Drosophila melanogaster: one gene and its partners. The protein of the gene in region 4 interacts with the protein of the main gene of each other region in a pairwise test. Each region holds a gene or a part of one and is shown on either strand. Other genes may lie near its edges. The genes, in order: CG3104, CG11380, CG2017 and cmb.

The links.
Region 1: the proteins of cmb (region 4) and CG3104 interact in a two-hybrid assay, tested with the Drosophila melanogaster proteins (one large-scale study listed by BioGRID).
Region 2: the proteins of cmb (region 4) and CG11380 interact in a two-hybrid assay, tested with the Drosophila melanogaster proteins (one large-scale study listed by BioGRID).
Region 3: the proteins of cmb (region 4) and CG2017 interact in a two-hybrid assay, tested with the Drosophila melanogaster proteins (one large-scale study listed by BioGRID).

What each region holds. Positions count from the first base shown.
Region 1 is NT_033779.5:2,849,771-2,857,613, reverse strand, and holds the start of CG3104 (uncharacterized protein), read left to right. Parts: upstream 1-1,835; 5' UTR 1,836-1,996; intron 1,997-2,304; exon of another isoform or gene 2,305-2,890; intron 2,891-4,008; 5' UTR 4,009-4,351; coding exon 4,352-4,363; intron 4,364-5,356; coding exon 5,357-5,467; intron 5,468-6,982; coding exon 6,983-7,279; intron 7,280-7,336; coding exon 7,337-7,843. Other genes in the region: RpS21 (ribosomal protein S21), read right to left, coding at 974-983, 1,046-1,237, 1,309-1,358.
Region 2 is NC_004354.4:1,189,578-1,197,178, reverse strand, and holds CG11380 (uncharacterized protein), read right to left. Parts: upstream 5,872-7,601; 5' UTR 5,487-5,871; coding exon 5,466-5,486; intron 2,982-5,465; coding exon 2,584-2,981; intron 2,516-2,583; coding exon 1,225-2,515; 3' UTR 519-1,224; downstream 1-518.
Region 3 is NT_033777.3:5,857,568-5,863,921, reverse strand, and holds CG2017 (uncharacterized protein), read left to right. Parts: upstream 1-1,516; 5' UTR 1,517-1,644; coding exon 1,645-1,752; intron 1,753-2,019; exon of another isoform or gene 2,020-2,175; intron 2,176-2,617; exon of another isoform or gene 2,618-2,932; intron 2,933-3,517; coding exon 3,518-4,190; intron 4,191-4,401; coding exon 4,402-5,279; exon of another isoform or gene 5,280-5,337; coding exon 5,338-5,610; 3' UTR 5,611-5,839; downstream 5,840-6,354. Other genes in the region: ECSIT, read right to left, coding at 6,022-6,354.
Region 4 is NT_037436.4:13,440,949-13,448,609, forward strand, and holds the start of cmb (combover), read left to right. Parts: upstream 1-1,645; 5' UTR 1,646-1,770; coding exon 1,771-2,040; intron 2,041-2,170; exon of another isoform or gene 2,171-2,351; coding exon 2,352-2,508; intron 2,509-2,740; coding exon 2,741-3,138; intron 3,139-3,264; coding exon 3,265-3,357; intron 3,358-3,419; coding exon 3,420-4,950; intron 4,951-5,060; coding exon of another isoform or gene 5,061-5,063; coding exon 5,064-5,332; intron 5,333-5,393; coding exon 5,394-5,935; coding exon of another isoform or gene 5,936-5,939; exon of another isoform or gene 5,940-6,013; intron 6,014-6,325; coding exon 6,326-7,436; intron 7,437-7,494; coding exon 7,495-7,661. Other genes in the region: CG14109 (uncharacterized protein), read left to right, coding at 278-331, 679-1,356.

The DNA of each region.
Region 1 (7,843 bases), on a different chromosome or scaffold from region 4:
TAGTACGTAATGCTCTATAAGGTAAGGAACTACTCACCATGTACTGTTTGCGAAAATATGCTAGTTACGAAGTCTGCCTAATACTGTCCAAGTTGCTGTGGCGTCCGTGTGGAAATGGTTATGCTATTGCATCACATTTATATATTCTTGTAACTGAGCAAGTTGCTTAACAATTTGTTGCCTCTTTGTTGTTCTTTGTCACATATTTTAAAGGACGCGCAGTTTCCGTTTCCAATTGGATTCCGTTTTCGTTATGTTGTTGTGGTACCAACCGACTGCTTGTACCCTAAACTACTACAACTACAACAGCACCGTCACATTTGGCCCCCAGGAATGGGTAAATGGTTGTTATGCCTCGCAAATTTAATATATATATAACTTTTTTTCGTTTCGCGACGCGATGAAAATCACTCGAGCTCTGAACTTGCAGTGTGACCGCGTTTGCTGAACTAGAGATGGCCAAGCATCGATTGCACTATCGATTACCTATGCATTCTCAAAAATTCGCATCCACAAAGTAGGAACTATCTGTTTCGACTAACGGTCATACTATGCAATAAATTCAAAATTTGTTTATACTTTTTGCGGACGAAGAGTTATATATTTCATATTCTGTTTTGACAAAGGATTGCTGTTTGTTTATAATCGTAATACAAAGCATATGCTATTTTGGATATAGAACACTAGAATTCCCATAGGCGAACTTATTCAAATATCAAATTAATTGGTTCCTGAAAGCACCCGTAAATTCTTAGTGGCTGAAAAGTCTTATTGGAAGTCAGAATAATTACTCCACACACTAAGCATCTTAGTTATGCTTTGCTTTGAGCTAATCCTGGTTCTAACTGCCACCGAAAAATGATTCCATTGTTTATGCCAGAAGTAAATAAAACAATTTCGAACGTTATACGTTAAATTACAAAGGGAAATCGCTTTATTACCAAATCAAAATCTAGCTATGGGTACGCCACGCTTAGAAGTTCCTGCAAGGCGAAAAATGCGCGATTAGTGGATGTCCATCCCGGGGATTCTAGCACAAACTCACTTGGTAATGATGCCGTCCTTCTTGGCCAGACGCACGATGCAGTCGTCGGACTCGCCCATGCGACGGATCTCGCCGCAGATGGCGTAGGTCTTGGAACCGTCGGTCTGGCGACCGGTCTCGGGGTCCACATCCACGATGCTCAGCTGCACGGAGGCGTGATCCTTGGCGTGGATGATCCTGTTGGACGCCGAGCTGCAGGGAAGGGTATCGGCTGGTCAGTAATCCATTCGGCAAATTGTGCGGGGAACACGTGTTTCACTTACCATTTGCGGGGCACGTACAGATCAACATTCTCACCGGCGTCGTTCTCCATTTTATTGGGCTGAAAGGTAAGGGACACAATTAGCTTGCTTTTTATTCAGTTTTAGTGGCGGCCACTGCTGGTTTACTCACTTTTTTGTAGAAATTTACAAATCTAGCGACCGCAACTCGTCGGTGAAGGCGAAAAAGAGAAAGAAATGACAGCTGGACGTGAAGTTGGCTGCGCTGCGCGTGGCGCCCCCTGTCGGAAGTTTTGCGTACCAGCTGGTTTTGGGGTGACCAGCTGGCAAAGGTTTTGGTATTTATTTAATTGTACATTTTTGCAAGATATTTCCATTCCCCTTTAATGAATAGGCATGTTTCAATTTTGGTTATGCACCAAAATGTATTTTAAAATTAAATGATAATTAAAAAAAAATTTCACTTGGTTTTGTAAGTAAATATCAATAGATTTAAATATATATTTTCCCGCATTAGTGGAAAATACCAAAATCTAATGAATGACATATTAGATACATGTTCCAGCAGCGACTGGTCACACTTTCGAAGGCCTGAGCGAAGGCTGCAGATTTCGCGTCGGGAAAATTCTATTGCATATTTAGGGGCGCATCAAGTAAATGGCTCCCATTAGAGTGGCTCAATATATATTATTCGCAAGCTCCCAACTGCACGGACTTACTTATTTAGCATGTGAGTATTGATTTTGCAACAGCCAGTCAGTCAGTCTGTGATTTTGTTTTCGCTGGATGGGCGTTCAGCGCGACTGCCCTTTGACCTCGCTCGATGTCAGCAGCGATTTTCGTCAATGGATGCGGACCCCCACTTTTTATTGCCACTTCGCGTGTGTTTGTGCGGCTGTTGGGGCGCCCCAAGTGGGCGGCATTGTTTTCATCGCGCGCCATGTCGCGGAATTCGCAGTCCACGTTGCCTATTTATAGGCGTCGCTCACTCAATGAACTCTCTGATCGCATTTCATTGTGAGTTCGGACTTAGCTTTTTCAGTTGGACGCCAACTTTGGAAGCAATCGGTTCGCTTCGCGTCGCTCGATTTCAAAAATCCCAAACGGCGTGACTTTTGCCTTATTGTTGTTAGTTGTGTTTTTTCGACTGAAACTTCTTGAGGTGAGATTTCACAAGTGGTTATGCTGCTTGTTGACCTTTTGTGTGTGCAAATTATGATATTTTTGCATAATATGTTTGCCACCAGCCCAGTACAGCCGAGAGCAAAAAGATAAAATGAAATAAAATGAGATCATGATAACGTGAGATGCTATTTATAAGCACCTAAACAAGAAAGCAAAGATCCCGAGACCCGTAATAAAGTGGCAATATAGTAAATGAAACGAAATGAAAGTGAAACTAATCATGGTGCTTACAAAATACATTAGATAAATTATGTTAAAGTCCACCCAAAGTGACCAGACTTCAAAAAAGCTATTGATCATTAAAATCAAACAAAATAACAAGTGGCTGCCAAAACAATCTAATCAGTAGATATAACCGTGTACCATAAGAGGTATCGCATATTACGGATATTTTATCAGTTTGCTGGCTTATCTGTAACAAACTTAGCGTACAAAGTTGGTAAGAAAATTACTACAGATATTATAAGCTCTAAAGGTGCTAAAATGTTTCGGAACTATACCTTTTATTCAGCTAAGCCGTCTTTAACGGAATTTTCGTTTCGGCCGTATATTTGAGATACATTCACAATGTAATTATGTGAATAGGGCAATTAAGAGTCGTACTCAGGCTAAGAAAACTCTGAACTCATGTTGTCAGCAGCAGCACACATTGCGTGCCTGGCCAGAAAGACGATGATGATGAAAAGCCGCATGAGGAAAGTCCGAAAAACTAAAACACTTTCTAGGTCAAAAGTTGAAAGGCACAAGGGAAACATCACCATGATGCTCATAAAAAAGGCAAGAAGCGTAGATGAAAATCAGAAAAAAAAATGCGGCTGCATAAAATGCAATTAATAAAGCAGTGTACCCACAAAGTAAGAGACCAGAAAATGAAAAAGAAAATGAAAATGCTTCACTTTGTGACTGGCTTGTTGCGTGTTGATTGAGCCAAGTCAGCTGCGATCTGAGATGCCGCCTGTCAATTTCCAGGGGGAGTTCCTATTAACAACGGAGAAATTACAGCATGCAAAAAAGTTAGTAATTGTTGTTCTCTTGCAATAGGGGAAATCGCATGAGTTGCAATAATCTAGACAAAGCCTTTACTTTCAAGAAAAGGGAATTCATTTGAAGGGCAACAAAGTTGTGAACCTTATCAAATTAATGGCATTCATGTGCAATATAGAGAACCTCTTCAAACACTGATGATTTTTATGGCCCCTTAAAAGGCATTTGGCTTTAAGGGAGCCTTATCGATAGAAGGGAATTCAATTTGCCCCTCCATGAATTATTAAATTGGTCTTGCAGCGCTTAGCTAAATGTTTATGTGGCTGTCTAAACTGACAGAAAATAAGATAACTCCGAACTTCGACTAAAATTTAAACCTTTCACCAGAACTTAGATTGGGCAGTCTTTTGCGAGACACTCCTCCCGATGAGATTACAACTTCTCACTCTCCTACCATTTTGGCACTATAATTCCCAGCTACGCCGAACGAAAACCTGTTATTTCCGCAGCAACTTAATTCTAATGTGGCCCGTGCCTTTTGGCTGTGCTCCTTTTCCTCTTTACAATTTGCAGTGCTCTTGAGATTCGGAAACTGGTCGCTTGGAATTAAACTTGGAATCGCACTTGGACAATGATGCCGCATCTGATGTTGTCCGCTGTTGCTGGTGCGGCTGCTGGTTCTCATCTGATTTGATTTGGTGCCACTTGCCAAGCGATCTCGTTGCTATATAGCAGCTATATAGTTGGCCAGAAGAAGTCGTTGTTGCTGCTGCTGCTGCTGGCGGAGGGGCAGCGTTACAGTTCGGAAAATCGGTCAATGGAAACGGGCTTGTAAGCAGGTGCAATTGCTGCGAGAGCCACGGAATAGACCAAACAGCCGGGGATCCAGAGGCCGGGCGAGCTTGGAGGCGCAGGCATGTCGCTTAAGGTGAGTAAATGCTCAGGTATTGACCCATATAACACTTAATTGACTCAACCGGATCGCGTTTGATGGCTCTTTTAATGGGAAAAACTCAAATGAATAGCTTCGGCAACTGCGAACTATGATTTAAGCGCACTGTCATGGATTTGAAATTGAGAAAAATTGAAAGAGTTCAATGGATTGAAATCAGATCTTGATGCCCAGATTATGTCTGAAGCTTTAAAAGTGTTTCTCACCTGCTGCTACTCACAAACATATATCTTGGTCGTCGTCATCAGGAACGTGATTATCACGATGGCATCACCGTCTTCATTGTCATTATGTCACTTCAAAGTGCAGCAGCATTTGCATTGTTACCCTCGCAACTTGAGTCACGTCATTTTCATGCAAGGGTTTTCACTTGTCTTTGCCTTTCAACAGGTGCTTCAAACCACTTCATCAATGGCAGAAACCTGGCTAAAAAGCAAACACACAGACAAACACGGGCACATCTGGGCCACTTAATTCGCTTCATTAACGCAATGTTGACATTTCAAACACACTTAGCTGGAAAAAATATTTGTTGCATTTCCTCCTTCAGCTGAAATTGGCATGCCAGTTAACCCTCAAAAAAAAAACAAATGCATCATATTTAGATTTCGACACATATTACTCATACCACCCGTAAGCCGCCCTCTGCATTTCATTTCACTGTACAGCCCTGTCCATCTGAGGGTTAGGTTTCATTTTGAAAAAATGCATTCAATGTGGCACAACATCCGCTGCGAAATAACTTTTTTTTAGTCACTGCTCTGACCCTAATTACTGCAAACAGGAAGAGTAATATTCCCACGTGGCGCCCAAATGCGGAATGGGGGGGGGCTATGAAGTGGGAACTTTGGCCAGAAAGCTCGGGGCACGGGTATCACTTCCCCGAAAATCTCTCTATTTGGACAGCTGCTGCGGGGCAAGTTGATAATTGATTTGATTCCGTTTTCAATTTCATTTTTGCGACTGCAGAAGGAGACGCCCTCGGATGTGCAACTGCACATGGCAGCGATGAGGGGAGATGAGGTGGCTCTTCTTCGCGTTCTGGACAGTGGCAAAGTGCATGTCGACTGCAAGGATGAGGTAAGTTATAAAAAGCATTTAAATCAGTTTATGCAATTACACGACTTCCAGTTATATAAAGTCGGTTAAATGCACTTTAGTTTTGTACATGCAATCGTTAATGCATGACACATGCGACTTCAAAGTGCTGTCAGTGAAGTATTGCGAAATCGTAGCCCAAAACAAAGTATTTTTTAAAGTCTCTACGAGGCAAACATCAGTTAACACGTCGTTGCTAAATTAAGTACGCACCAATTAGCAAGGAAAACGAAAAATGCAGCAAACTTACATGCGACTGAAACAAAAGCCATAAATTTTTGAATTTTCAAAAGTAAACAGAAGGCTTTTGAATACTCTAGCAATCGAAGATGAAAAGAATATTTAAATGTTGAGAAAATAAAGCTAAATGCCTTAGTATTATATCTTAACTATTTTACTTAACGTAACTAGTGATACTTCCACCTGAATATCCCAGTTATAGTACTTTTTGTTAGTGTATAAAAATTGAAATTAAATTTCGCTGCCCATTCAGTGGAGCATGGACTCAAGTCCAACTAAAAGGAAAGTGGGCTGCGGGGGCAGTGTGCCATTGTGTTTCTATGTGTATATATATACATTTCTATATATATATATATATGTATATTATTATGCCAGTTGGTCTGCAAGAGTCCGCGGATAGGGTGGGCACTACGTGACTCCCCCATTTGGATGCAGACCACCGAGTGCATCGAGAGCGATTTGCAAGTTGTGGCGTGATTTTCCCGCTGGGACATGCCTCAATTTCCCCTGTTGTTTTTCCTCTGTTTGGTTTTTGATGAGTCCGAGCCACGGACTTGCATGCAAATCCGCACGATGCGATTAAGCGTTGACTTGGTGAAACTAATCGCAAATTGCTATTCAAATCACTTGTTGGCCAATTAGACAATTAAACAATTTATCGCTTTGAAGTTGAAACAAACGTAAGCTGTCAATTTGTGATGTCAGACGATTGGAACTTTGTTTCATTGTATAATTAAAGATTTTATGGTTTTGATTGTTGCTCATTGATTGAATGGCAATTATTGGTACAAACTTAAGCAAATTATGACATTTTACGCGGTTTTTTGGTCATAACATGGCCTAAATGAGTCACAGAGATGAAATAATGACTGATTTTTAAAGCTTTTGATCTAAACTAACTATCCCTATCACGTTTATGCTGATTTTTGAAAATCAATTTTTTGACATTTTTTTCATTTTTTGTAAGGGGTAACATCATGATTTTTTGCGAAAAATGGCAAAAATTTTACATTTAGAACTGTGAATGCCATTCGAAAGAGAATTTTGCAACGATTACAACGAGGTATGACATTCCATATTTGAACTAATATTTTGATTGTTATTGAGAAAAAACGTAGTATGATCCCTAATATTTCCTTAAAAGATTATACTCATGTACAGATTATGTGTGTATATAAGCCAAGACATTTCTATATACTATTTGTTTTTATTATCTCTATAGATAGATATCTTTCTAATTTATAAAATTATTTGCAGGATGGAACCACCCCACTGATTTTGGCTGCTGCCGGAGGTCACACCTACTGCGTGATGGAGCTGCTCGATCAGGGAGCCGATCCAAACTCGCGTCGCCTAACGGGCACCACGCCCCTTTTCTTCGCCGCCCAAGGCGGCCACCTGGACGTGGTGAAGATTCTGATAAAGGCGGGCGCCAGCGTGGACACGCCCTCCGCGGATGGCGGCACGCCCCTTTTTGTGGCCTGCCAGGGTGGTCACGTGAAGATCGTTCGCGAGCTCTTGGACTGCGGAGCGAATGTCAATGCGCACATGAAGGTGGGTAGTCCGAGATCTTGACGAGGCATAATCTAACAGTGACCTATTTCTCTGCAGGATCGAGCCACGCCGGTTTTTATCTCCGCCCAAAATGGCCATCGCACGGTTCTGTCGCTGCTGATTCAGGCTGGTGCCGAGATCGATATCAAGCGGATAGACGGCGCCACGCCCCTGTGGATAGCAGCCCAGATGGGACAGGATCACATATGCAAGGTGCTGCTCCAGAACGGCGCCAATGTGGACACCGTGCGTTGCGACGGCGCCACGCCCCTCTTCAAGGCGGCTCACAAGGGCCATGCCGCCGTAATCACCGTGCTGCTCAAATACCGACCCAATCTCGGCCAGCTGCCCAATGGAGAGTCCGCACTGCATGCCGCCGCCATGTTTGGCCACATGACCGTCTGCAAGCAGCTGGTGGCCGCCGGCAGCGATGTCCTGCTGAAGAACCACGATGGTCTGACGGCCCTGCAGTTGGCGCACCAGCAAAAGTACACCTCCATCTGTGATTATCTCCAGGAACGCATACGGACTATGGTGGCGCGCAGCGCCAAGGCAATGGCCACG
Region 2 (7,601 bases), on a different chromosome or scaffold from region 4:
TCCTTTCGCTGTGCCGAAAAAGTGAAAAGCACCTGCTTTAAGATCTGAATAAACGATTGCTACGTCCCAACAATGGACCCATAAAACGTCAGCTTCACCAGAAACCACTCCACAACAAGCAGCCACTGTGTAGCACAGATCATATAAACTTATTTTATGTACAATGATGCTGTGCATTTGAGGATCTTGTTGCGCTGAACTACAGGTATAGTCACACACCCAGAACTCTTGCCATGCTAACTACTTGACTTGATAGGGAAAAGAGAACTCTTTGGAATGGCGAGGGCCATCATCCTCGCAAATTTCCTCCGGGATTTTCCCCGCATTTTCCAATTGCGTGCCTGCTAACAATTCGGTGTATTTAATTTAACAAAAATTTGTTGTAACACTCGTGTCAAAATCGTTCAGCTTTTAGTACTTCAGTTACGCCGGATTTGATGCTATTTTTATGGCTTTGCTGCGTGACTTCCGTGAATTGGCCAAATATTCGAATAAAATGGAAAGAGTTATTTGGTTTTCAAATTAATTTCTTTTCGGTTTAATCATACAAAAATACAAGTACATAATATAGGTAAATCAAGAAGCACATTAAGACTAAATATTGCACACATGATCAGCAGCACATTTTCTTGGTTAACAATATAAACAACATAAAAAAAAACGTCGTACAAAATAATGAAAAGCGAATGTGTCCCGGCAGCACCTCTTCGCTAAGAAAAGAAAACTATGCCTATCTTTAGGCGCCCTCTTTTCCGGCCAAAAGTATGCCTTGGCTGTGTAGCTCAGGGATTGCGGGTAGGTGTTGGATGAGATTTGGAGCTGGAGGATCACCCCGGGATCGTTCTGCTCCTCTAGCTTGGAATAAATACTAATGAGCGGATATCAGGCACAAGAAGCAACCACAAATTGTGTGTTAAGAATACGAGTGAACGTGGGCATGGCACTCACTGGAATTTTACTGTCTTGCTGGACTTGATCCCCATATTCATAATGTACGGATGTTTGAATTTGTTTTAAAGATGGCTTGCCTGGATATATACATAGAAAACGTGCGTAAGCGATTTAAAATTTAATTCTAGAATTCTAAGGCATCCGAAAAAACCTTTGATAAAATCGTTTGAAGATTGCCAAGTTTAAAAATTGGTTTAGTTCATCCAGGCAGAGATAGTGCGTTCGGTCAAATGAGTTTCCATGCCTTCGAACATCTGAACATTTATCCAGACCTCAGCCCTCGAGCAGCTGTGTCGTCTTGTATTCGACAGCCGAACCCATTTCAGCGCCCAGTTTCTCCCTCACATACTCCCTGATCTGTTGGAGTCCCTTGTCGCCCGAACTGGGACCCACGTCCCCATCCGCGGGTTCCGGCTTGGCCGCCCTTTTGCCCTGGCGCATCTTGATCGCATGGGCGTGGTAGTTGAAGGGGCGTTCGCCCTCAGGCTGGTGCTGGTGCTCCTCGATGTTGGTGGTCTGCTGTTGCGGTTGATGCTGCTGCTGCTGGTAGGGGTACGGATTAAAAATGACCTTGGTGTGGGTGGGTCGTGGGTTGTTTTCCGTTATGGGAAGGCTGTGGTCCGCCTCCGGTTCCTGTTCAGGACCACCTGAAGGACCCGTCGGTGGATCAGATTCTGGAACGTATATTGGTTGCTGCTGCTGCTGCTGCTGCTGAAGATGATGATGGTGCTGCTGATGATGGTGCTGCTGTGGTTGCGGCTCCGGTTCCGTTTCCGGCTGGGCCATTGCTATCAGATAGAGCTGAGGCTGCTGCTGCAAATGGGATTGGGGCTGAGCGTAGTAGAACTGTGTGGGCTGCTGGTAGTCCATGGGCGCGTAGTATTGTTGCGGCTCATATTGTTGCTGCTGCAGCTGCAGCTGTTGCTGGTGGCGACCCTTGTAGCTCTGGTAGACATCATCGATGGGTGCGTACTGGACGGGTGCCGGCGTGGGTGCCAGTTGGTGGGCGTAGCTGACTTCCTGATGGTAGGTGGCCGGTTCTGGTGGTCCATATTGCTGCGAAGGATCCACATGCTGATGCTGCTGTTGTTGTTGCTGCTGATCGGCCTCCTGGAGCAAGCTGAGGTACTGGGCCGCTCTGATCTCCAGATATTGCTGGAGAAGGGTCTGCAAATGGGCGGCGTACTTGGCGGGTCCTGGAATACGCAAGACAATGACGGGCTCCTGATATCCCCCGTGGCCACTGGAACCACCTGCACCACTGGGACTTTCCGCTTCATCCTGGGGCAGATCAATCTGCGGCTGCTCGGGAGCTGTGTGCTGCGGTTGGGTTTCATAGCTGGTCTGGGGCTTAAGCTCGTAGGAGTACGAGGGCTCAATGGTCACGCTGGTCACTTGCTCGTGATTGTGATGATGTTGCATTGCCGGCTGGTGTGCCTCCTCCTCCTGCTCCTCCGGATGTGGCTGTGGAAGGGCAAAGCCCGAGGGAATATCATGCTGTGAGTATGGATAGAACATGAACTTGGGCGGCGTGTAATCATAGCCAGGATGCGAGTAGCCGTATCTGTTTGGATATAGAAGTTAGATGGGTTAATATCTGGTCAGTCAAAATGCTGTCATCCATGGTCTCACCCCAAATCCCCCTCGATGGTCCTCTTGCTGTTCTTGCCGCCGCTACTCGTGGAATTATCCCTCTCCACCTTGATCTTGATCTTGTTTCCGTGCAGTTTGAACTGCTTGTCCAGCTCCTTAATGAATTCCAGGTCATCCGCCGGCAGATTGCCAAATGTCTCGGTTAAGGCCGGTGCTTTCGTGGGGCTCTTGGTGGTTGCCGATGTGCCGATCTTCACGCGTGGCTTACTGGGCTTCAAAGTGGTTGCTCTGCTGATGGAAATCGGAACTGTGGTCGGCGTTTTTGTTGGTCGCTTCTTCAGGGTGGTAACCTTTTTGGGAAATCCATTGCCCTTTGAGCCACTCGCCTCTGACTGGCTCAAGCTGCTGGCCAAGCACACTATAGCACTAAGAGTGCCCTGTGAAATATAGACAAACACAAGGTAAAATGTTTATCAATTTTATAGGACTTATACATTTAACTAAAGGAATTGCTTTTTTGATATTATTTAAAGCTTAGCTACCAGCTTGCGAGTTGAAACAAACAGGAAGTCTATCGAAGTTAGCTTTTCAAGAATTTGTAACGATTTAAAAATGTTCCAAAGCTGGAAAGACATTAGGTTCGTTGTCGGAATCAACTCAAATCAAATTGTGAAAATTGTTGGTTTCGTTTTGGCCAATCTTGGTTCGGGCTCAAGGTAAGAGGCAAAGACAATAGAGGGTGACAAAGGGGGAGTTGGAGACAAAAGCTGTGGTCCATCTATCGCTCTCAATATCGATCGTTAAGCCATTCGATGCACAACACACGCTGAGAAGAGGTTTCACATTTGACATTTCGTCAGGCGAATTGGTGTTGTAATTGAATCTCGATGTCTTTGAGTTCGTGTCTTGAGTCTTTTCATTTTAGCGCTTGTCCGCAGTTCGTGCCTTCAGTCATTTGATTCGCAAATGGTGGTAGATAACACTAATGGTTCGGTTTTCATCGATCAAATGATGATTATCTGGGTGACGATTATGGGTTACGGTCGCTAACTGTTACTGATACATGCGAATTATGGGTTATTAGCCTGATAATGTTTCATTTAATCCAGTTTAGGCTAGGTTCTTGTCATTACTGATCATTACTCTTTAATTTCAGATTTACGGTTCAAATCGAATTAGCCCTCCAAGTAGCAAAATAGTTTACTGACTTTGCATGCCATAATTGCAGCATGCGCCTCTCCCAGTTTTCCATGTGCAGCAATAATTTCGTACTTCGCTTGGTTAGTTAAGTTTTAATTGCACTTTGTGACTCGATTATCCAGTGAGTGAGTGAGTAAGTGAGTGTGTGTGTTATGTTACCCGAAACTAGGACAGTGTGTCAAGTCATTTTAATAGTCGTTGTCGTCTCTTTACTGCTGGTTGCTTATGTAGCAGTTGTTATTTAGCCTAGTCGTTAAGCAGGAAGAGTTTTTTTTTTGGCACACTCGCCTTGCCACAAGTCAGCCGCAACAGCGAATAGCTGCGGATTTTTGTCAAATGCTAGCATGAGCTGTGGGACCCGAAGAGCGAACTGCTTTTATGTAACCTCCACCGCTCATACAGAAGGAGCAGAGCAGCAACTAGTTAGATCTGTCTTCGTATTGATTTATCTTTACCAATTATTTTCTGTAATAATTTAATTTAATTGCATCAAGTCCCGAAGTCGCCTTGCCTTTCACTTGCCGCACAAAGAATCGAACCGAGTGGACGGGTTGGTGGGCGATTTTGCGCCAGAGATGAGATTCCCATTCCCGCATTGCAAATTACGAGCTACAAACAACGGCAAGTCGGGGCAAACGATCGTCACGCAACGCGTGCAAATTAGTCGGACTTGGATTTTTGCCCAGTTTGTGTGCTGCGGTGTGTTAGTTATTGTTTCACTTTCGTTGTTGCATCACCAGCAGCAGCAGCAGCAGCAGCAGCAGCAGCAGCACAGCAGCTGCTGCAACATCAAAGCCAAGCACAACAATAAAATGTAAATTAGACGTCTACAGATTATCCTGCCAGTGGCTGAGCGGCGCCTTCTCCCCCATCGGATGGGGCGTAATAACTTTATGTAACCACACGAGTGGCGACTCCAGAAAACGAGTCTTTCCAGCGCTGCGAAGGAAAAGACTACATCCAAATATGTGGATAGACTAACAATATGTACGAATATTAATAAAAGTTAAATTAAGCTTCTCGTTCGAACTTCTTTGTTGACATAGTTGTAAAGTGCCCTTATAAATTAAATACACGCTATTGCCTGACATTTAGGTACTTTAGTACGTTGGTTCAAAACTTACTTACTTAATATATCACAAGATGATTTCTTTTATGAGTAATGCAAATAAATATTTATAGCCGCTTGATTCAATGTGAAGACACTTTACCACCTACCACCCCTTAATTTCGTTCAGTGTGCACATTTGCGTAAACGAATCTCTGCTGGCCACTTCGGCAATCGCCAGATTTGTGATTCTACCATCTTAGCGTCCAATTAGTGGGCGATTGACGCAACTCAACCCCACTACTCCTCCATCGTGCTGCTTGATAGATGGATCTGGACACGGACTGGCAAAGTGGGCAAGGGCAGGGTCAGATAGCCGAGAAGCCGAAGGGCAGGAGTCAGTGGAGCGAGTGAAAAGGTCAAGATTATCGAGATATGGAGACACCATAGACAGCGGGAGTTGGGAGTTCATTGTATCGTACACCTGGTCGAGTTGGTTGAACTGCAACCACTTTCTAAGCCGGCTTGGCCAGCACTGCACCACTTGAATGCAAATTAATTTGTCAGCCGACGACTAGTTTTTATCCCGCACAAATTGCACAATTCGATTGGTGGGTGGGTCTATTTTCCGGGTTTTCTAAAGGAGATTGTATAATCTTACTCCTACTCTTACCAATATTAACGCTAATCTCATGGCGATTCCAGGTATCAATGCGCATGCACAGCGACTTTTTCACAAAATCCGAATTTGATATTGACGTTATATGTTATATGTAATAATATATGCACTTTTCAATACATTTGTGTCTTCGAGAACCACAAAAACAAAAAATACCAAGGGTACACGGCCGGGCTGGTGGGTTTAAGTTATGTTGGTTATAGTGTCTATACGAATTTGGTTTTGATTTTCGTCTCAGATTCGTAGTCGGAATCGGAATCGGAGCGGTGCTAGCGTTCAAAAGTCGCGCCTCTTACTGCGGATGGCGCTGGCGATGCTCGCGGTTTTTATATCGCAAGCACAGCATAACAACTTGGTCTTCGGGTTGCATCAAGCTGGAATATCGGCTTCGGAGTTGGAGTTGAAGTTGAATTTTTGAAGCTGAAGCTGAAGCTGAAGCTAAAGCTGAAACCAAAGCCAAAGGCGAAGGCGAAGGCGTATTGTGGACCGGGGATCGGGAAAAGAAGACCGAAGTTCACCACCAATGACACCGCACGTAGCTGTGTGTGACTGAAGGTGTAGGTTGCCTGGGATTGCCGCAACTGTAAACAAAGTGCTGGAGTACTTTAGATGCTGGTCAGATACAGAGAGATAAAATGCGGAGAAAAAAAAGTTGCGGAATTGGGAAGATGTAGTTTGAGGCACTGGAATACGAGTAGGGGAGATGTTACAGATGTGCCCGTTTAAATATTCCTGCCCACTTTGTTCATTGAATAGTTTCCATTGCCATCTAGGCATGGAGCTTCCCGTGCTGAGAATCATAGATGATCGACCTTGATTCGCCATGGGAGAGCAATCTTTCACAAAGGGCCATATATATATATATTTATATATATGATTGTATAGTAGATAACCAGATATGGAGGGAACTGGGAAACCTTTCCAATTTCTTTGGGGACAAAACGGCGACGCTTTTGTCTTGGCTTTTCCAGTTCAAGTTCAAAGCCATAAAAATATTGGCGTAACTTTGGCTTATGACAAAGGCCTGGACTCAAAAGACCGATTCCGGGGCCTTTCATTTCGGGTGAATACGTTTTGGGTTCATTATTATTATTATTTCTGTATTCCGCTGGCCCGCATAAAGCCACAAACCAATCGAAACAGAAACTGAAATTTGCATGAAAACAATTGCAGAGCATCCCATCCAGATGGGAAAAAAAGAGAGTGCCGGAGGTCCGCGAGTAGTGGCACTTTAATTGGCGCATTAAGTTGTTTTCGCTTGGGCTTGGCCTGGGATTTGGAGTGGCTTTTCGCTTTTGGCTTTGCCCAGCGCCAAAGGAGAAATGGCATAACAAGAGTGGCGTTTGTGTTCGGATCGTCGCTGGTGGGATTTGGTAATCCATTTTGTCAAAAGACACAAGACACGACACTAAGCGGACCGAGATAACGATAAAAGGCCGTAGATAACTGAACACTGCAAGCTAAAACCCAAAAACATCATTCGCAATCACGAGGCGGCACTGTCGAAAGTGTTTTTGCCGCCTGGTGGTACCCTTGCATTCGAAATGTGTTGGCCGTTTCAGGGTCGTCGACAATCTCCGAAAGTGACATGGTGAAGAAAGTGCATGTGGACAAAGAATCGAAACATGTTTGTCCATTTAGGTTGAAATAGGTGATGTTTAATCGCTTTGACTCTCCTCCTTTAGGGTCTCCCTCTGTCGGCTAGCTATTTCGATTAAGTTCCCATTGATGGTCGCGCATCGATAAGGAGAATACGCAATTGAAATGCTGGTCAGCCCGCCAGTTCGATGCTCTTTTGTGCTCGGGCACTCCGATCCATTCGATTCCGCCCAATTCCGATGCCAACAATGACCGGAGCGAATCAAAGCCGCGGCTAAGAAAGCATTGCCAAACCAAGCGGCCGAACCTCAACGTTAGCTCGATTTCAACAATTCAACTAGCCATGGCTCATTGTTCAGAGGTGCAACAATGTCACTTAGTCAGCCGTCATAATGCGGCATTATGATTATTTATTGTGCCGGGCAAGTCCCATGCTGATGAAGAGGCCTACGGATCGCATCGCACACAAAGCCAAAATCGAGAAGGCTGACCGTGGGCATCCTCCACAAAGCGCGACCCTTTCTTTATCAA
Region 3 (6,354 bases), on a different chromosome or scaffold from region 4:
AGTGAGCAATAAAGAAAAGTTTAGAAAAATATCCCAATCCATGCTGCCGGCCGAATCACCAATCCGGAGTACCCCATCCCAAATGAATGGGTATATAGAACTGGGCACGGATTTGTGCGCACGATAGCGCAAAACGATGACAATAAATGGAAAACTTTTTAATAAGCTAATAAAATGATTTATGCGGGTCGAGCGATAAGAGGGATAAAAGGCACGGAGTTCCACTTCCAGATGGCCATTTGATGGGCCCGATTCCGGCCAATTCCGACAGACAGACACCTCATTGACGAACGCCAACCAGTTGGACCTGAGCACGCACACACACACACACATACACAACGAATGTATTCTTGAGCATTATTTATTGGATATTGAATGGGTCGGCCCAGCTCGCAGGATTGGGGCAGTTCAAGAGGGGAGCGTAGCCCCCACCCCCCCACCACCCTATCATCCCCCTTTCATTGGCAATTGTTATCAAGGCATTAGCACATCGGAAATGCTATACGACTATATCATACTCAAGACAAGGGCTAAACGACTATAAGTGTTCTAACGTTTGTCATATCAGTTGGGCGATTCAGTTCTTGACTTTCTATCGAAAAAACGTAATTGAAAAAAAGAAATGTATATGCTAAGTCATCGATAGCGATTAGTAAAATCAATGTAATGTCATAATGTTTAAATGTAAAAGTTATAGCATCCAGGTAACTGGTAGAGCAAATCGTAAACTTCCTCCAAGTTTATACATATATAGTAAAGGTCCCCGCTGTAGATAACCAAAATCGAGTGCCAGTAGTGCAATTTTAAAACGATCCCCAACAACCTGTAGCATCACGACATCCCCATGATCCATGTCGAGGTCAGCAGATACTATTTTATGAGCCTCAGAGAGGTCAACGATGTACATACATACATGCAAGCCCAAGTCCCGAAAACAGACAGACATACATACATATACACATCATTGTAACTGACTACATATGTAAAAATGCTTAAAATATTTGTGATAAAGTAATAATGTTAATGATAAGGAATAAAACGTAAATATATTAATGAGAATACATTGAGTTTGAATTAAAGCAATTCGAGTTGTATTTTCATTGCTGGGAGGCACAAGGTTTCCTAAATTCTTTTTTTAGCAATCTAAAAACGTTACCATATCTTCACTCATTTGAATGATTTTTTGATACCAATACAAAATTATTTTGTAGCAAAGCAGATGTTTTTGAGCTTGCAAGATAGCTCCATCGAGATTGGAATTAAGTTCTATGCTGGCTAATAAACTTATTTGAGTAAAATTTACCAAAACGAATTCTCAACACTAAAGTACTAAAGTAAAGTATGGAAATGTAGGACATGCAGATGACCGCCTTCGCAACCCCATTTATTGTTAAAAATACGTTACTATTTAAATTTGAAAAATGTGTGCCGTTCACAATGGACGCCCCGTCAGCCAGTGTTGGTAAGGGTGCGCAGCAACTGGATAGGTCAGTGTCCAAAAGGGACTAACGCGTGGCGAGCATAAACATCTGTTTGTCGGAGTCACAAAATGTAGGAAGTTTATGGTTTATAATAATTGATTGGATTGCTGGCGCAACTTTGGCGTCCCCGAAATTTGAAGTGTGTTGTGAGTGCTTAACCCACATGAGTGCAAAATTGCCATGGCAACGTGAATCGAACACGAACAGCAACACCCACACAGAGACCATTGAAGATCCGCGCATTGTGGCGCAGTATTGCATCAGCAACTGCGTAAGTGCAGCACATTGACTCCATTTTTGTTTTGCTGATGAAATCGCAGCGCGATTTTTGTTTCTTGTGAAATTCCGCTCTATGCTTGCCAAGCTTTTGTTTGTTGGTTGCATGAATTCGGTAAACGCGACAGTTACTTCCCGGAATTCAAACGGAAAGGAGCTTTCCGCGAAGCGTCCTCAATCAATTTCGAGATAGAGATAGAGAATAATAACGCAGCTGACGCGGTCAAAACAAAAGCGCTTGTGTAGAAAATCAAATGCGAAGCAAACGCGGCGAGGACAAGACGCGAAAAGCTGTCAAAACTACGCGCCGAAAAAGGAAAGGGTCTGGTCGATCAGAAATCCGCTACGCAACACAGATTGCGTATCTACATAAAACGTAATAATTTAATTGTGTGGGAGTTATCTCACAATTAAGAAGGTTCGTTTTTAAACTAAGTTTCCTTATTTGAACAACAATCGTAGAACTAAAGAGGTGTGTTTGAATTGTGGAAAGCCAAGCATTAATTGTTGAATAAAATTATCAAACGTCGCGGCTTCGCATCAAAATCGTGAAAAAGTTAACTTTTATAGTTCCAGTGTCGAAGGACGTAATGGCGTGTGACGTAATTAAACATTGTATATCCTGCCTTCTAATTGCAAAAATAAAGTAATTAGAATTAAAACCTATAAATTTACCATTTATCGTTAGCTTTAGTAATTAAATAGGTTCGTAATAACATCCCGCATTAAATATTTAGGTAACTTTCTTCTTGTGGAAATTCACTAAGTTAATTTTTTTAAGCTCAACCCCCACTTGCTAAACAAAAAATACGTTCCATGAAAGAACTCAAACGCCCTAGGGTAAGGTATTGCGAAAGCTTTTGAAGTATTCAGGTGCTTGTTCTTCGGTCAACAAAGCAAAACAATCGGGAGCAGGTTATAAACAAAATCGAAAGGCACCCAAAAGCGGAGAGCACAAGTACGCACACAACTACGAACTACAACTACAAAGCACAGCACTCAGAACCCAGATAGCCGAACGAACAACAAATTCGACCTGGGCAAATGAAAAGCGCAGCCAAAATCGATATTTTGTGCCAGCGTCGCGCGCAAATAGGAGCTGCTTTAGCGCTTAATATCTCGAATAAACTCGAGCGGATTGGTTTGATTAGTGAGCCAAATATAGGGATTATCTGGTAAGATGTTTGGAACTTGTCGTATTATCGACCTTCTGTTCCACCTGCCCCCGCGCGTGGGCTCGAAACAACGGCCAGAGTCGTGGCAAACATAAACAAGCATTTTCAAGGTCGCTGCAAGTCAAAGACGGCCAAAAAAACAAATGGGGAAAATTTCAGTTTTGATGGATACACATAAGCAAACGGTTCCATCAAAAAGATACATAGAAGTTGAAAAATAATTGTTTTTAAAGTGAAACAAATGACGTGGTGTCGAAATAAAATTAAAAAAACTTTAGTACAATATTAAAAGTTATTTCAACCCAATTATATTGGGTAATTCTCAGACTAAATACAGTACAGTATGAGTAAACAAATCAAATAATATTTACTTATGCATGTATCTCATTGCTATTATTTCAGCCACGGCTGTTCGAAAATCTGTATGTATGTACATAAGTATGTACATATGTACATTTTCGATGTCGCAATTGGCCCAAAAAATGTTTTCTTCTCAAGACAAAGAGTTCCTTTGTCTAAACAGAATTTTTACCATTTACCTCATCTGAATTTTGTATTTATATGATCCACGCTTCCCTTTTGCAGCAACACATTATGGAGTCCTTCCTGAGTCTCTTTGATCCCAATCAGGACGACGGCTTCGAGGAAGAGCCCGAGCTCAATGGCAACAGCAGCGGCGGCGGAAGCAGCAGCAGCGACTATGAGACGGACGCCAATGCCAACGAGTGCAGCGTAGTGAGCGGGATGCCCACCGAGCGGGGCAACCTGATCTTCGACTTCGAGCAGGGAATGCTGCCACCAGAGCCGCAGCTCGGAAATGTGGAGTACAAGCTGAAGCTGGTCAACCCGTCGAAGCAGCGATTCGAGCACCTGGTGACCCAGATGAAGTGGCGTCTGCGCGAGGGAAACGGCGAGGCCATCTACGAGATTGGAGTATCCGACGCCGGCTATCTGCAGGGACTCAGCGACAAGGACATGAATGCCTCGCTCACCACGCTCAAGCAGATGGCCCACAGCCTAGGAGCCAGTACCTCAGTGCTGCGGCGAAAGACCATCGCCGCCCGACGCGCCGTCGCCGAGGTACTGGTCCGTAAGATCCCCGACGACCAGCACAACATCGAGGTTCGGGTGGCGGTGCTCGGCGGAGCTGATGCAGGCAAATCCACTTTGCTGGGCGTGCTTACACAGGACGAGCTGGATAACGGACACGGCCGGGCGCGGCTCAATATGTTTAGGCACATGCACGAGATTCAGTCTGGTAATATGTCGTTATAAGCACTAAACACAGATATAAATTAAATTAAGATGTTTGGCATCCATTTTAAATTGTCATCAATAAGGAATATATCAGTTGTACTACATTATTCATACATCTCTCGTTTACAAACTTTTTTTTAAATTATATTTATCACTCACAAAGTCCGGTTTGTTTGCTTGAAAATTACCAATTTGCTCCTCTTTTCCTTAAGGCCGCACCTCCTGCATCTCCCACGAGACGCTTGGCTTCGATGCACTGGGTAATGTGGTCAACTACAAGTACAATGAGATGATGACGGCAGAGGAGATTAGCGACAGGTCCAGCAAGCTGGTTACCTTCATGGATCTAGCCGGACACCGACGCTACATGCGCACCACCGTGCAGGCACTGAGTGGATACTCACCCCACTACGCCATGCTGGTGGTATCGGCGGGCAGCGGTTGCAACGACACCACCGAGGAGCACTTGGCTATCGTGCGGGCACTGGACATGCCCTTCTTTGTATTGGTCACGAAGACAGATATCACATCGCCGGACGCGACGGTACAGGAGTTGTGCAACCTGCTCACCACCATTGGGTGCCGGAAGGTTCCCTTTGTGGTGACCAACACGGATGAGGCCATCTCCGCCGGGTCAAACCAGATCTCCGAGAACATTGTGCCCATCTTTTGCGTATCGAATGTGACCGGCACGGGACTCAACCTAGTCACAAAGTTTCTGTACGTCCTTTCGCCCGGAATCAGCAACGCCGAGAAGGATCGACTCGAGCAGGAGTCTTGCGAGTTCCAGGTGGACGAGATCTTCCGGGTCTCTGACGTCGGACCCGTTGTGGGCGGTCTACTTGTCCAGGGCGTGCTGACCGAGAATATGGCAATGAAGATTGGTCCGCTTCCCGATGGTAGCTTTCATCCCGTTACTGTTAATACTATCCACCGAAACAAGGCTCCTTGCCGAGTTGTCCGAGCTGGTCAGAGCGCTTCGCTGTCTTTCAGTATGGATCAGGATGTGCCCACGCTACGAAGTGGCATGGTTCTTTTGGGTGATATTGGAAATAGTCTGGATGAGCCCTACGGGACCTTCTTCTTCCAAGTGAGTTGCTAGTTTTCATTTATCGTTACCAAATAAATACATCAACTTCCCTTTGCAGGCCAAGGTGTCCGTGCTGTTCCACGCCACGGCCATCTATGTCGGCTTCCAAACCACAGTCCACATAGGCAGCATTCGCCAGACGGCCGTCATTCGGGGCATTATGGGCGGCGAGCGACTGGGCACAAACGATTGTGCTTCGGTGATGTTCGAGTTCGTCGGCCACCCGGAGTACGTGCGTCCTGGAATGCGCATCCTGTTCCGCGAGGGCACCAGCAAAGGAATCGGAGTTGTCACGCAGGTGTTTCCGGTCAACAAGACAGGCATAAAGTAGAGAAGCGGGCCAGATGGATAGTTCCAATGACATATCTATATATCTCAAACAAAGATGACATGTACATATACTTAATTAGCAATTAGAGGGAGGCGTTAAATCTTAGGCAGATCTTCTGTACACTTAGTTTCGGGTTCTGTGATTTTTCGTTTAAGCTCGGCTCACAATCGGATGTTGTGAGTAATCCTTCTCAATTAACCTTATTTCATTAAAATCCACCCCAAAATGCATACAATGTTGCTTTCAATTCGCGTCCGAGCCAAAGAGTATAAATAATTACCGAAGTATTAATTTTTTTCCTTCTAGCAGATGTACATATATATGTACATATGATCAAAACCGACTAACTTTAAGCAACATTTACCATCAATTCTATGGTATACAAAGACGAAAAAGTGCTCAACAATTTGTTTATTTCTGTCTACTGCTAATGTGCTCATCTTGACTACTGTTATCACTTGTTGCCGGGACACTGGCGCCACCTTCAATTTCCTCCGCCTTGGCTGGCACTTCGGATGTGAACCGGAAGAGGACGGGCACCTCTCCTATGGAGGGATTTCCGTTCGCTTCCAACAGGCGAATCCACGAGAGCAATGAGTCCTTTGTGGAGGTGCCTGTGGCACAGATGGCCATAATGGTTCCGTCGTCCTGTTGGTGGACAGAGCGCAGCTTTCCCAGCTGGTTGTGTCGCCTTGGTGGAGCACGACCAAAGAAGGGTACTTCGATGTGGGAGACATCGTCCTC
Region 4 (7,661 bases):
TCGCTCGGAGGATTCGAATATACGATTAAAAGGTAGCATTTTCAAGTATAATATATGTGGTGTATTGTGGTGTACATTTTCATAAGTGCACTTGTTAGTTTTGTCTTCAAAAATGCCAAGATGACTGACACTATTCTAACTGAAAAATAATTTAACAAAGAGCCATTTATTTATAGACAGTGCCTTGCGATGGGCCTTTGTTTGTATTGAGAAAATAATCAACGTGCACGATATACATAACACCAAGTATTCCCTCTTCTCCTCAGGAACCCAGAAAATGGTCAACGAACTGAATAGGCCTCAAAATGGGGACAATGCCGCCTTGAGCGAGGTAAGCTGGAGTCTTCGGGAAATTGCAAAACTCTTAGTATTTAAGTGTTTTAAAACAATAAGAAAACACAGTCAGTAAAGTTAAATAAATACCGTGACACATTCTTTTTAGACAACAAAATGAATGAGTCACACCAATAAGCCTACAGTCTCTAGATGTTTCAGTTGAAATGAAATTTAAGTACGAAGCTTTTTCTATACCAGTGAGCTAAAAAATAGAGTTTTTTAATAATAATATACAAAATCATTTTTCTTTTGATGCCCTAATGTAGTCTTTGAACTATGATGTTTTTAAACCAATTTTTTCATTATTGAAGCTTTCAAAACTAATTATTTGTATTTTTTAAGCGCCTAGCTGCTTCCAACAGACAGCTGCAAGAGATGCAGGAGGAGCACCGCCAGTTGCTTGAGGAGATGGAGACACTGCGCTTACGAGCCGCTGAGCTGACCCTTCTGAATGCCCAGCGCCGACAAGTGCGGCAGTCCACCGAGGAGGAGGAGGTTCAGTCCCACGTTGAATCCTCATCGGAGACAGTAACAGTTGCTTCATCCGCCAGTGCTTCTGGAGAGTTCACAAACCGGGAAGAGGCACCATCTGGTGAGGAAGAGGGCGGGGAGGACAAAGAGGAGCAGGCCAGTTATCTGCAGGAGAAGCTAAACGAGATCGCCAACCTGAAGGCGCAGTTTAAGCGCGTGCAGAACATGGTGGACACCACCAAGATGATCGAGGAGCACATGTCCTCCAGGCAAACGGTACAGGTCCAGAGCTCCACCTCCGTTCAGACCAGCAGGCAGACCACCTCGTCAGAAGTCCGAGTGGCCAGCGAGGCCGTAGAGAGTGCCCAAGAAGAGAATCCATCGACCTCGTCGAGTGCTCCCGATAACGCCGAGCTCCTGAATTCCATGCTTAACATGTTCACGGACTTCACCAGTGATCTACGCGGTCAAGCGGTGGGACTCCGGGCGGAGAGGGATCGGATTCGTGCGCTCAAGGAGGACATCATCCAGCGCAAGCAGGGAAAGTAGGCACGTCCAAACTTGAAAGGGAAAATGGCTCTAGTCATATAATGTTTATTATCCAAGGAACATATTATAAAGTAATCTCCAAATAAATAATTATCCTTAAAAGATATCAAATTACCAAGTAACGTTAGTTTATCTACACCAAAAGCATTTAAAATACTTTTTACAGATATACATTTTATTTTAAACTAAAAATAATATTTATTTTTGAATTTTAGAAAACATTCGATTTCAAAAAACGTCCGCTGCCAGTGTGACCATAACTTGGTAGGCTTGTTAACTAGCTTCCAGCCCTGGTTGGGAACAGCTGTCAGAGTGCGCAAAGCAAAAAAACAAAGTGGGAGTACAAAAAAGAGGAGTTTTTTCAATTTTGTAGCGTCGTTTTTTGTACGCAAATATATATATATATATTTTCTAATGGCGCCGCCGCCCAAGGTAGTTGTGGACCAAGCCAACGCCAGCGCCCGCAGCAATGGCAGCAGCAACAACAACTCGGTGGGCGGGGCAACCGGTGCGGTGCCTAAACAACAAACGCCTGTAAACGGAGCACCCACGTCCGGGTCGAGTGCATCTGTGACATCCAGCCGGTCGGCCCGCTCTCGCCGGCAGCAGGAGCACCTGGGCGAACCGGACATGGAACTTGTCGAGCCAGAGACGCTGCAGCGGGAGACGCTGAAAACTCTGAATGTAAGTTAGACGGACGTCTGGTTGCCATGGCAAATCTTCTCGAAGAGAAGACACCAAGACCTTTCTCTTCTTGGTTTTATAAATACACTTTACACTCATCGCGACCTGCGGAAATTCGTTAGCCGCTGGCTCAGTAGCGAATGCGAACTCAACCACTGCGGACAACGAATTTCGATCGGCCAGAGCAGCGCCCTTATACATATATATATATATATCTGAAATAGATATATATATATAGACCTAAAATCAGCAAAATTACCGCAATCCTCGTGCTGGTTTTCCTGCTAATCTTCATTTACTGTTGCTTAAAGGATCTCCTCCAGCGAGCACGCATCACCAACGCCAAGAATCGATCGCCGGCGGAGCAGCATCTGTCTAGCAAGGATCACAGGTCGCCTGCACAACAGCAACAGCAGCGCGAGGCACTGCGTCAGTTGGCCGCCGAACACGGCAACTACGATACAGCAGGTAATGGGTCCTGAAACCGTTGAGGAATATACACATTTAATTGAGCAATTTCCAATATCCGCACCTGGCAAAGTGATCGGCCTGGCCCACACAGAGATCGGTGCGCCAGTTCATGTTCTATAAATAAGATGCGCACGAAAATAAACGCCCACTGAGATGATGTAGTTCGCAGCGCAGTATTTAGCAATGGACCTAAACATCCATACTGATCTTTGGCTATTTTCCATTACAGAGCAACTGCAGGAACAGCAGCAGCGCTATCGATTCCCCGTCCGTCCTGTCCAGAGGGTTCAGCACCAGCCATCCTCGTCAGCTAATAGCACAGGCGCCCCCTCATCTTCGACGGCTTTGCTGCGTTTGCGTCAATCGACGCCTCCGAATGCCACAGTAGGTGTGGTCATACCGAACGCAACTACCAGCAACGGAAACGGCAATTTGAGTGGCAACGAGGAGCAGGCACCGCCACTGACCCCCGCTGGACTGCAACAACTCGTTCACCGACTTCTTGGTGTACACCATTTTGCTCCCAGAACCGAAGGTTTTCGCTCGCAGGTTGACGTGTTACGCGCCCTGCTAGGATTAGACGAGAACCTGAATAGCAGATATCAACCGAGTAGGAAAGTTGTAGAGGTGAGTTTGAAAGCTTGTGTCAGGAACTTCAAGTGAGCCGTACATTTATAACATTTATAAGATTGATAATAACATTTTTTATATCGTAATAATAAATGAAACTAAATCCTTTAATTCTTGCCCCAGACGAACAACATGGTGCACGAAATCAACCCAAATTCGGATCAGGGTGAAGGCGTAGTCAATTCGACCAGCTTGGAGGATGTTGCATTAAGCGAGGTTAGTTGGTTAATAAAACCAAAAGTCTGCCTTCTAGTACTCAAACCATTTGTACCTTTCAGATGAGCGACAACCGCGCCCAATCCATTCAGTCCCTACACAGCGTCTTGGAAACGCCCACGCCCGATACCACGCCCAGCTTCGATGAGTTGCAGCAGCGCTTGGAAGCCTCCAATAGGAACATGCAGCACCTGCACGACGAACAGGCGAAGCTGTTACAAATCCAAAATTTGGCCAAGACTCACCTTAACGAGATGGAGCGGCTGCGCCAGCAAGCCGATAGCTTACCCCACAATGTCAATGGGGGAGAGGCCCCCAAATACGAGTCCGTGCAGCAGGTACAGGACGACATGGCGTCGCTGGTGGGGCGCATGAAGAATCTCACCGCCTTTATACACAACCAGAACGAACTGAGCACGGTGCTTGGCGATGATGGGCCCGAGATCCTGGCCGAGCAGGAAGCCCTGCAGGAGAAACTGGAATCACTGCGCACCCAACGTGAGGATATGCGCAATCTGGTGGACGAACTAAACAGCATCAACCGTGCGGCCAGGGAGACTGCTAGAGTCATCAAAGAGAAAGAGGAGACTCCCACGCCTCCTCCCAAGCCAGAGGAGGCTGCCCCAGCGGCTCCCAAGGAGCGTGTTGTTCCTGTGGAGTATCAGAGAAACGTACCCATCATACGCCAGGAGGCGGCCAACGCTGCTCAACGGGCACTTCACGCACAGGCAATGATCAACCAGAAGACGGCAGATATAGAAGCACTCAAGGCTCAGATGGCGAGACTAAAGGGAATGCTGTACACTGTTAGCCAGATTGAAGAAAGTACTCCCAGCATGGGCTCCACCTTAGAGCGGCGTAGTGAGGAAAGAACTAGCGTGGAGCGCGAATTGCCGGCCGAGATTGCCCAGCGCGTATTCGCTCTGAACGATGTTACGAGCGAACTGAGAGCGGAAGCAGCAAGCTTGCAAAAGGAGCGTGACCGTATCCTAGCCCTGAAGGCAGAGATTGAGCGACGCAAACAACAGGCGGCCGCCGCTGTTCAAATGGGCGATGATGCACTTAAAAGAAGCAGTCTTACCCCAACACCCACCCCCATGAGACAGCGGATGACCGAGGAAGAGGATCCATCCGAAGTGGATAATTCTCTTCAGGCTACGCCCACCAAGGAACAACTGCGCGATGAACTGCGCTCGCAGTGCGAGCGCCTGCGAACGGAATACGAGCAGAAGCAGCGGGAACTGGAGCAGCGTTACGTAGCCAGTAACAACACCACATCGGAGGCGGATGACGAGGCAAACGACGACACTGACAGCGATAAGTACTTCGCCAACGTACGTACCGCTTCCTCAGCGACCCTAAAGAGGGCTCCATCCGCCAACACAGTGGTGGAGCAACGACGAGGTCAGCAACCTAACGTTCCCCCACAGCAGGCACCACCACCACCGCCGCCTGCTCCTCCGTCGACGCTAAACGAAGATGACCTGAATGTGACACTTGATACGCTATCCCTGGGTAATGACAGCATACCATCCAGCAGCAATAGATCGCAGTACATGCCGCCCCCCATGCAACCAGTGCCTGGAATGTGGGGTACGTTTTTAATTCCACCAACAAAGGCGGAAATTTACCAACTTTACTTTACCAACTTGAATTCATGTATTAGTTTCCTCGTTTTACGCTTATTTTTATGCATCCGCTAGCAGCATCACACAACTCTGGAAGTTCGTGGCATGGACAGCAGCCCGTCTACGGTCAGCCGAGCTCCAGTGCCGGCACAGAGTTTAAAAAGCTGCCAGCCGCCCAACAAGGGGGCTCCTCAAATGGATCCGGATCGAATGCCTCTACCGACGCAGTTCTGCTGCAGCAGTTCATGCAGACGCAGCAAATGCTTATCAACTCTGTGTGCCAGTGCAACCAGGCACTGTGGCATCAACAGCGCGAAATCGACAACCTCAACCACCAGCTACATGCGGTAAGACAATCCATGAGATTAGAGAGCCTAATCAAAGACTAATTCAAGTGTTTTTTCACAGCTCCAGGATCGATTTAATGTTGTAGCATGCCAGGATCACAGCTTCGGCTTGCGCTCGGAATCAGTACCGCCTCCGGTGGGCCCTGGAATGGGTCAGATGCCCAACAATCTGTGCCTGGGCAGCAGTCGAGCTCAATCTGAGCAGCTATTTAACTTTGGTGCCCACCAGAGCGCCTTTAGTAACTATCAGCGCAGCTGTCATCGTAGCGGGGCAGAATCGCATCATCATCAACAGCAGCAGCATCAGGCGCAGCCGTTCCTTAACAATGCTGCTCCCCCGCCACCGCCGACGCACTTCAACAACGAGACACCCCTGTCGCCGCCTACTTACCGCTCAAGTCCAGGTCCCATCTTCATGAACCACCATAACAACACGATACATCAGAACAACTCGAATCTGCGAACCCAGAACCAGCATGCCAACAATCTGCACTCGCTGCCCGAGGGAGCAGCTGGTGGAGGAGCACCTGGTGGCGGTATTACATTGAACAATCAAGTACCACCCGGAAACAGAGCCAACAACTACTGGGACAACTTCCGCAGGTAATGCTTTATAACTTTGGTGTTGGATTTATTAATGGTTGTTTGATGGAAAAGGGTCAAAAGCAATAAAAATTAAATAAAACTATTGTGAAGAGTTAATTTTCAATTCTGTGCACCGGTAAGTGCGACCACGCGTTGCAGATAAGTGTCCCATTAACAGAGTTGAAAGTGACTAACCAAGACTAACTCCAAGTACTGACCAAGTTTTGCAAGTGCCTATTCGGCAGTAAACAAAGCTAATTTATAAAAGATGTGTATTCAATTTAAAAAGGATATATGGAATAGAAAAACTTAACTTAGTAACGCTCACTAGATTTAGCTAGTTTATCAACTGCATGATTCTTTGCTACCCGCTTGCATTAACCCATTAATATCTGTACGCTCTTCCAGCCATTCGCGCCAAAATCTCTTATCAAATAAAAGCAACGAGGAGCTGAACGTGGACCTCCAGCAGTATCGGCGACAACGGGCACGTCCCAGCTACTTTCAGCCGCCCCAGTTGCTTCCGCCTACTACGCGTGGTGGTTTGACCCACCAGCAGCAGCGTCGTCACTTTTTCGAGGCGCCACTAACCGCTTTGCATGGCAGCAGCTCCAATGGCAGCAATAATCTCAACAACAGCGGCAGTTCGGGCAGAAAAAGGGACTGGCGCGATGATGCAGGCCACATTCGCGACCACGACGATGAGGATGTGGACGAGGTGGAGGAGAACCATGATAACGTCATATTCGGCTCGGGTCGACGTCGCAATCGTCGCCGTCCTCAGCTTTCCACGCTGCGGGATGATGAGTCCGAGCAGGCTAGCTCCTCCAATCTCAACATGAACGTAAACTATGGCAACAGTCCGCTGTATCAGCGGAACAAGGTACCAGCAAAGCCCACCACTTCGACTGTGTCGCTTACTCCTCTGCAGCAGCGACATCTTCGTTTCGACTTCGAACTTCCAGCTCACTACATGGACTACATCGAGCTACCCCAGATTACTCCAGTGGACACTACTCCTACGCTCGGACAAGAAGCATCGCCCGCGGACGAATCAAATGCCATGGAGCAAACCGAGGAAACGGCCTCCGAGGAACTGAATCGAAATCTGCTGGTTAACGCTCTGAAGAACGACAAGTTCACCACAAAGTTTTATGAATCAATCAAGGAGGATGTCTACCGCCGGCTGGAGACACTCTTCGAGCAGCAGCAGCAGCAGCAGCAACAACAACAGCAACAAAATCAGCAGCTGCAGCACTCACATGAACCACACGGCTTGCGAAAGGCTCTTAACCAGGAGGAGAACGAACCTACTGGCGACGCCGAGGCCACCGAGAGTCGCAGTGAAACCCCGCTAGAGGTAATGCGTCTGCAGCTAGACAACGATCGGCCCGAGGACGAAAAAGGAACGCCAGTGAAGCAGCTAAGTTTGTCCAATCCACAGAACGGGCAGCACCTGGATGAAATGGAGGACAGTGCTTCTGCTGTTATCTCTTCTCTTAGGACCGAGAACGAAGAGGTAAGAAAGGCTTTCGTAAACTGGATCGATTAACTCATAATTGCGTCTTCCTTACCAGCAAATCCTCGAGGGAAAACTAGAACAAGCCTCTGGCTCGGGATCAGGACCAGGGACCAGCATAGAACTGGCACCGGATCACGAACTAATCGAGTACATTATCAAACGCATTCGCAATCAGACGCACAACAACACCGTCATCAATGACTCCCTACTGGCAGAGGTATC